2 linked regions of the Callithrix jacchus genome follow. The protein of the gene in region 1 purifies or fractionates together with the protein of each later gene. This does not show direct contact. Links are inferred from orthologs where the notes say so. Each region holds a gene or a part of one and is shown in the gene's direction. Other genes may lie near its edges. The genes, in order: EPN1 and PHGDH.

What was found.
Region 2: the proteins of EPN1 (region 1) and PHGDH purify together in Homo sapiens (affinity purification with mass spectrometry; 3 studies listed by BioGRID and IntAct, with this or other methods). This does not show direct contact. The link is inferred for Callithrix jacchus from reciprocal best matches to the Homo sapiens genes EPN1 and PHGDH.

The regions. Positions count from the first base shown.
Region 1 is NC_133523.1:48,536,668-48,540,571, forward strand, and holds the start of EPN1 (epsin-1), read left to right. Parts: upstream 1-1,072; 5' UTR 1,073-1,325; intron 1,326-3,904. UniProt on the Homo sapiens protein: Binds to membranes enriched in phosphatidylinositol 4,5-bisphosphate (PtdIns(4,5)P2). Modifies membrane curvature and facilitates the formation of clathrin-coated invaginations. Regulates receptor-mediated endocytosis.
Region 2 is NC_133508.1:157,957,673-157,961,476, reverse strand, and holds part of PHGDH (D-3-phosphoglycerate dehydrogenase), read left to right. Parts: intron 1-3,234; coding exon 3,235-3,367; intron 3,368-3,804. UniProt on the Homo sapiens protein: Catalyzes the reversible oxidation of 3-phospho-D-glycerate to 3-phosphonooxypyruvate, the first step of the phosphorylated L-serine biosynthesis pathway.

The DNA.
Region 1 (3,904 bases):
CCCCTTATCCCCCTGTGAAGACGATGGGCAGAGGAGTGACAGCCGCACAACACACGGCAGCCGGCAGCAACTGGAATGGCAGCAATTAAGGGTGGGGGGCGGGGGTTGGGGGTTAGGGCAGGGACGGGACTGGGGAAGTGCGCACACAGCCCACAAGACAACATGCACCCACACAGACACAGAGGGAAGGGGTAGGGATGGGGACAGGGTGCACAGCAGGGCGGGGTACGACCCCAGCCCCTCCCAAAACAGCCTCTCCCTTCTCCCTTAGACCCCATTCTCCTCCCCTTCCCCACAGTAGGAACATAGCGTGTTTATATTTTATGGCCAAACTACTTTGAATTCTGTTGTCCGGCCCTCAGTGCCCTGCCCTCTCCCTTATCAGGACCACAGCTCTGTTCCTTCGGCCTCTGGTCCTCTCTGGTCCCCTCCCGGATTTCTTATGTAGTTGATTTTTCCCTCTTTAGTCTCCCCAATCTGCGCCCAGCCCCGTGGCTCTGTCCCTCTGTCCTTCTCCTACTCTCTGTGGCAGTTTCATATTTGCTAAGACGAATTTGCTCATTAAACATTTTGTTGTATTTTACTTTATGGAGCGGCTGTGTGTCCAGTGTGTCCCACCCTCTTCCTCGGTTCCGGGCTCGGGTGGGGGTCCCCTTGGCAAACTGCGGGCCCCTGACCGGGACGCCCCCGGTGCCGGCATCCGCATCCCCGGGGCCTTCCCTGCTAGCGCAGTGCGCTTCTGGGGGTTGGCACAGGCACGGCTCGGGGGGGTGGGGCGTGAAGTTCCCGAGTGATCTCCCACCCCACCGGCAGGAGGGAGGATTGGCCGAGCGGGACCGGGCGGGCGCGGCGTGGGTGCGCCAGGAACTCCATGAATTCCGCGGAGGGAGCTGGGACTGAGCCTCGGGGTCCCGTGCGGAGCCTAGCGGCGGCGGGCAAAAATGACGTAAAGAACACTTAGTAACGGGGACCTGCGCGCCGGAAGTGATGCCTCCCTGGTTGGCTGGGCTGCGGAAGTAACTCCCGCCTGGGCCGGGTGCGGCACGGGAGGGCGGGGAGCGCGGCAATTTCCGCTTCCGGTCCGTCGCCTTCGGTAGCTTCCCGTCTTCCCGGCGGCTCCCCTCCCCCGCCCGGCTCTCCGCGCCCCTTCTGGGCGGCGGGGCGGCGGGGCCCTGGGCGTGCGGCCCTCCGTGCGTTTGTGCGTGCGCCCGTGCCGCCTCCTGGTCCGCCGCCCGCGGCCCGGCGCACGCTCCGCGACACCGAGGCCGAGCGGGGCAGGGTGCTGACCGCCATGACCCCCCGGAGCCCAGCGTGAGGGGGCCGAGGTGAGCGCAGGGGACGCCGGCCCGCTTGCTCCGGGTGTTCGGGCTTGGTCCGCGGCGCGTGCGGGCTCGGGCCGGGCCTCGGGTTCTGGGTGTCTCTGGCGGCCTTTGTGTCTCTTTTCTTGGGTCGGCCTTGACTGCCCCCGTGTCGGTGTCGGTGTCGGTGTCGGTGTCTGTCTCTCCCCCTGCCCCTCGTGTCTCCCTCTCTGTCGTGTCTGTCGGCGTCTGTTTGCCGTGGGCCTCTGCCTGTCCCAGTGGCCTTAGAAGAGGGTTTGGACGTAGGAGCGTGTCTGTCCCGAGTCTCTTTCTCCTCTGTCATGTCCGTGTCTCTCAGGATTTTGTTCTTGTCTCTGAGTTTCCGAGTCTTCGTTTCCCAGGGTGTCCCCAGCCCTCCCCTGCGGACTCTTCTGCCCCGTCTTCGCATCTGTTTTTGCCCCCGTATCTATCACCTCCGATCCTGAAGTCTCTTTCCAGGAGTCTTGCTTGGTCTAGAAGAATCTGCCCCTTTTCTGCAGTTTTCTGAGTCTCTGGTGTGATGGTGAAGAGTCCCAGGCTTGGATTCAGAGGCCCGGGCTGCCTGCTAAGCCGTGCGATATTTGCCATGTGCTATTGTGTATCTCCAAACCTCAGTTGCCTAGTCTTTAAAATGGGACGTTCATAGTTCCTGCACCACAGGGTCCTTGTGCATGTAAATTGAGGTGATGCTTCTACAGTGCCGGGCCGTCTCTGGTACAGAGGAAGTGTGTAATTACGGGGAGCTCTGGTTTTTATTATTACAGTGCTTAGAGATTTTGACACAGGAAGCGTTAGGTGTCGGTCGGTCATTGGAGTATTCCTTGGGGAATTTTGTCATATTCTTTGTATGCTTTTTAATCTATTAATTCTCGGAATCAGTTTAATTTGAAATACAGTCATTCTAAGCAGTATCTAAGAACTCTTAGCTTTGATGTGCTAATCTATGTTTTTCTCCTGCACACTCCACAGTGTGAAGACAGTGCAGTGTCTGCTGCCACCCTTTTGGAGCTGTTCTCTGCTTTTTTCTCTGATGATAGCAGCCAGTGTTATTGAGCGCCTACTATCTGTGGGGCACACGGCCAAGCACTGTATGTACCCATCTTATTTAATCAACAGGCCTGCCAGGTAGGCCTTCTTTCATTTCAGAGTGGAGCAAACTGCACCTCAAGGTTTGTGCTGCAGGTAGCTGATGTGGCCAGGATTTGAACCCGGTTGATGTTCTTTTCCATTATATGCCATTCTTTTGTCTCTTACTTCTCAGTGCCAGGTGTCATATTGTTTCTGGGCCTCTATCTTTCCTCCTTGGCCTCCTGCCTCCCTATTTTCCCATGTCTCATATCTGCTGCTGTCTGTGTCTTTCTCACTGTCTCTCTGGGTAGTTCTCTCTGCCTGGGTTTCGGTGTGTCTGTTTCTTGTCAGTCTTCTTCTCTGTATTTGTTAAATTCATTTCTTGTCAGTCTCCTCTATATTTGTTACATCATTGCTTCATCAAAATGTGTTGGGCTGGGGCTGCTTTGGGACATCTGTCTTCAGGTGCCTGGCCCTGTGGCCTGAGTTGGAAGCAGAGGCCAGCCTCTCTCAGTCATCCCTATCTCCCCTGGGCTTACATCATCGTAAGGCTTTGTAAGCCTCCCTCTGTGGCTTGTTGGAGCCTCATAGACTGGTGATTAGAGCTGGCTCTGGAACCAGGCTGCTCCAGGAGTAAGGTGTGTGTCCGTGGGCAAGAAGCTGAATCTCTCTGTGTCTCAGTTTCCACCGTGTGAGGTGGCTGTGAATCATGGGGTTGTTTGAAGGGTTAACTGACTTAATACATGTAAAGCGCTTACAGCAGGGCCTGGCCGGGATAAGAGCCTCGCAAGTGTCCGCTGGTGTAATCATCATTTGCTTGACTCTCCTTCTGTTTCTTATCACCAGTTTTGGGTTGGGTTAATGTAATTTAGGTTAATTTAAAAGTACAAGTTTTGGAGTTCAGGTGGGCCTTGGGTTGAGTCTGCCCTGCCATTCCTGGTGTGTGACTTTGGTTGAATTATTTAACCTCCAGGAGCCCAGTCTCTACATGCACTGTTGAAAGAGGGAATGTCCCTCTCTTGTGCTGAGTGAGTGCCTGGCTCTCAGCTGGGACCCAGGCAGTGGAGCTGTTAGGTTCCTTATCTCTTCTGAGCCTTGGGCTTCGCCTGCCCTTGTCTGGTCCTCTGGCTTCCGCAGTTCCTGACACCCTGGGTTGGCTCCCAGCTCCTGCCCCTCTCTTTAATCCTTTCCATCAGCCTTCTTTCCCATGTGTCGCTTCTGCTGTGTATTCCTGTCCACTCCACCCTTGTTCCAGTGGTCTCACCTGCCCCCCACCCCCAACGTCCTCCTTGCATGGTTTACTGAATGGTTTTTCTGGGCCAGCTTCTTTGCTGGGAAAAGCCACGTCTAGACAAACAAGATCTCTGCCTGCTGGGGGCCTGAGGGTTGACCTTAGCTACAGAATCAGACAATATAAAATCGTCAGGGAGATTGAGTTTACTGATGAGGCTCCAGGGAAAGGCAACCATGGTGTTTGGATGTGGACTTGAGAAGTGTTA
Region 2 (3,804 bases), on another chromosome or scaffold:
AAGGCAACTTTAAGCCCAGAGGGATGGATGTTGAACCTGAGGGACCAGTTATCAATGATTCTTTCAGATCCAGCTAATGTTTGCTGAGGTCTATGTGGGTTCCTGTGCTTGAAATGACTCTGTGGGGTCAGAATTATTATCCCAGGTTTATAAATAAGGAAACTGACACCCGGGAAGGTTCTGTGATATGCTGAAGGTAATGTGGCTATGAACTGGTGGAATCCAGCTCAGCCTTCCAGGCTGCCACTCTTTGCCCAATACCACCCGACTCTATTCACAATCCACTGTAGTTAAACAGTCCCTGTGTCAGACCACTATGCTGCTTAGCTATTCCAAAGACAGACACTCTCCAGAATAGGCAGCTCCTATTCTGTGGTACCTGGAATGTTTATTGCCCAGAGCAGTGATTTTCAAACTCAGAGCCTCAGGTTCTGGCAAGGTGCCTTAGAGACACAGGTGGGAGCAAGGAGGGGCCCCAGGGAGACAGCAGGTGGTGGCAATTTGAGCCTTCACCTCTGCAGCTTTGAACTGATCTGTCTTCATATGTGGGTAGGGAGAGTTCCAGTGCTAAATTAAAAATTCAGCTATGGGGCAGAGAGAGGGCGTGACCTTCAAGGTTCTCTCTCGTTCGGAGCCTCTCTAACTGGGAGGCCTCCTTGCTCTCCTCTTTGCTCCGATGAGCCAGCATACCAACCAGCCTCTCAGGGCTGCTTTCCGTGACCTCAGGCAGCTAGGAGTCACCAGCTGCCCTGGAGTCCTGCTTAGAAAGTGAGGCTTCCTCTGTTGTATCAACATCAGGAGTCTGTCCTGGGGCTGCGATTGAGGTGAGGGAACCCCTTCAGGCTTCTCCCCAAGGCTTCTCTCTGGGAGTAGTCTTTGAATGGTGAGTACTCAGAGCTGCTCCAATTTCTGTGTATTAGGATATCTGACCCTTTCCAGGACACATCAGGACCCTGGCAGGCACGTGTGTCCTGGGCCTGATGTCACCCTTTCCATCCCCTCAACACTGTCTCCTAGTGTCGGAACCCCAACCCTTAGCTGAGTTCACCTCTTTTCTGCCCTGGTTATCTCAAATGGAAAATGAGAACAGAGGTTTGCTCAGCGAGATTCCTTCCCTGCAGTCATCTGCAGATAAATGAGATACTCTCTGTGAAAGAAGGAAGCTGAGTCAGTGCTTTGCTGACCACTGAGGAAGATGCTCACCTGCCCCTCTCCCCAGCCCTCTCCCTGCAGCCCCAGGCACCTGCCTATGGAGGGGACCAGGCTCAGCCTGCAGGGTCCCTCCTCCTGCCAGCCCCCAGGCTGTTCTTGGCTCCTGAGCTGGAAACAGATGTCAGCCAGTCTGGATCTTGCAATCTCTATTGGTATTCCTTTCCTCTCCCCACTCCATGTGAGAAAAAAAATACATTTGGATTAGAGATGAACAGGGCCATTGTTGCTGCCAGCCTCAGAGCCAGCAGACAAAGAGGACTTGTGACTACGATGGCAGGGACCCCGCCTCCTCCCCTGGACACTTTCTTCTCCCCACCAGGAATGAGTAGGTTACCCGGGCGCGGTGGCTCATGTCTATAATCCCGGCACTTTGGGAGGCCGAGGCGGGTGGATCACAAGGTCAAGAGATTGATACCATCCTGGCCAACATGGTGAAATCCGTCTCTACTAAAAAAATTCAAGAATTAGCTGGGCTTGGTGGTGTGTGCCTGTAATCCCAGCCACTCAGGAGGCTGAGGCAGGAGAATTGCTTGAACCCTGGAGGCGGAGGTTGCAATGAGCTGAGATTGTGCCACCGCACTCCAGCAAGACTCTGTCTCAAAAAAAAAAAAAAAAAAGAAAAGAAATGAATAGCTTAGAGCCAAGGGGAGCAGCAGTGTCTGAAAAAGACCACGTGCATTCTGAGCTGGCAGTTCTTACAGGGCATGGGGGTGGCAGTATCTTTCCCCAAAACCTGCCTGATCATTAGTGTGGGACCACTTGGCTTTCCTTGTTCCACAAGGCTAAAGATGAAAAACGCGATCCAGAGGCTTCACCTTACTCGTAACTATGTTCAGCTTCTGCCCTAGAAGTACTGAATTTGAAGTCCTCTTCCCTACTATGTTCTTTTCTATTTTTTCTGAGACAGGGTCTTGGTCTGTCACCCAGGCTACAGCCTCAACCTCCGAGGTCCAAGTGACTCTCCTGGCTCAGCCTCCTGAGTGACACAGGTGCGTGCCACCACACTCAGCTAATTACTTAATACTTTGTAGAGGAAGGGTCTTACTATATTGCCCCAGCTAGTCTCCAACTACTGGGGTCAAGTGATTCTCCTGCCTCAGCCTCCCAAAGTGCTGGGATTATAGGCGTGAGCCATGGCACCCAGCTTTGCCATTATGTCCTAAAGTATCTATTCTGTATCCCTAATTTCAAAAGTAATTTATGAATATGTAGTGGAGAACTTGGAAGCACAGAAAGTAAAGGAGAAAAATAATTCCACCACCCAGGGACAGCGGCTGTGAAAGTACTGTGCTGTGTCTTCTGTTTTTAATCAAGTCCTTATATTCTCCCTCTGGATTAAGGGGAATTTCTCTTCAAATAATTCCCAGTGATTGAATGTGACAGTGACAGATGACTGCAGTTACCTGCCTTCCTCCTTTATTTAGGGTTCAGGACCCAGGTTCAGGGGGACGCAGTGGGCAGTGACTGCGGGAGGCTGCGGGTCAGGCCTCCTGGTTGAGAGGGCACGTGCTGTTGCTCCTGCTCCGGGTCCTGCCTTGCACCCCTGTTGCCCTCCTCCTTCGCTTCTGCTCACTCTGTTTTAGTACCTGGTGCACCTGTCTGTTTTCTGGACTGGACCTTCCAGCTGTAGCTCCCATTTCTCCTCCCTTTCCCAGCTGTCTGCTCCCCATGTGACTGCCCGCCCTGGCTGCTTTCTGAGGGCTCCCAAGCTCCACCTGGTCCAGACACACGTGAGCTACTGTGGCATCTGTGTGGGGTCAGAGCACGGAGGCACACACACGTTCCTCTGAGCTCTGGCCGTGCCCCTCCTCATTTTAGAAGCCCTGCTTCCCTCAGCTCTCAAGCAGACAGGCCACCATCCCAGCACCTTTGTGCTATCATCAGAATCAAACCGGAGAATTAATTAAGCTGAGCATGGTACCGAGTATATGGAAAATGCTCACAAAATGTTTGCTATTCTTAAAAATAACAATACTCATAATTAAGAATGACACTTCCTCCCTCTCTCTGTCTTCTGACCAGACGATCGGGTATGACCCCATCATTTCCCCAGAGATCTCGGCCTCCTTTGGTGTTCAACAGCTGCCCCTGGAGGAGATCTGGCCTCTCTGTGATTTCATCACTGTGCACACTCCTCTCCTGCCCTCCACCACAGGTAGGTGCATCCTTACATCGTGGGTTGGCACAGAAGCCACAGACCAGTTAACAAATGGGCCCTCCACCTGGGCCTTCTGCAGGCGCTGGTAACCGGCTGTGGGGAGGGGCACCCTGGTCCTGCAGAGCCTGGTGCTTTGTTAGATGCCCCTGCATTGGATGCAGGGGGGTAAGCCAGCTGGAAGTGCTTGGGGCCTAGGTGAACTGGCCACAGGGACAACCATGACTCCATGGATGCTTCCTGCAGCCCCTGCAGGGCTTTCTGATTCCCAGACCCACTTGAAACAGTAAGATCTCAAGAATTTCTAAGGCGTTTCTAAGCTGAGTCTGGCCCAGACGCATAACAGGGACTGCTGCCCCAGTGCGTCCGCGGAGGAAGAGATGAGATCGAGGAGGCTGCCGTCTAGCAGGAGAGGGGCTCTGGGAGCCAGGGATGAG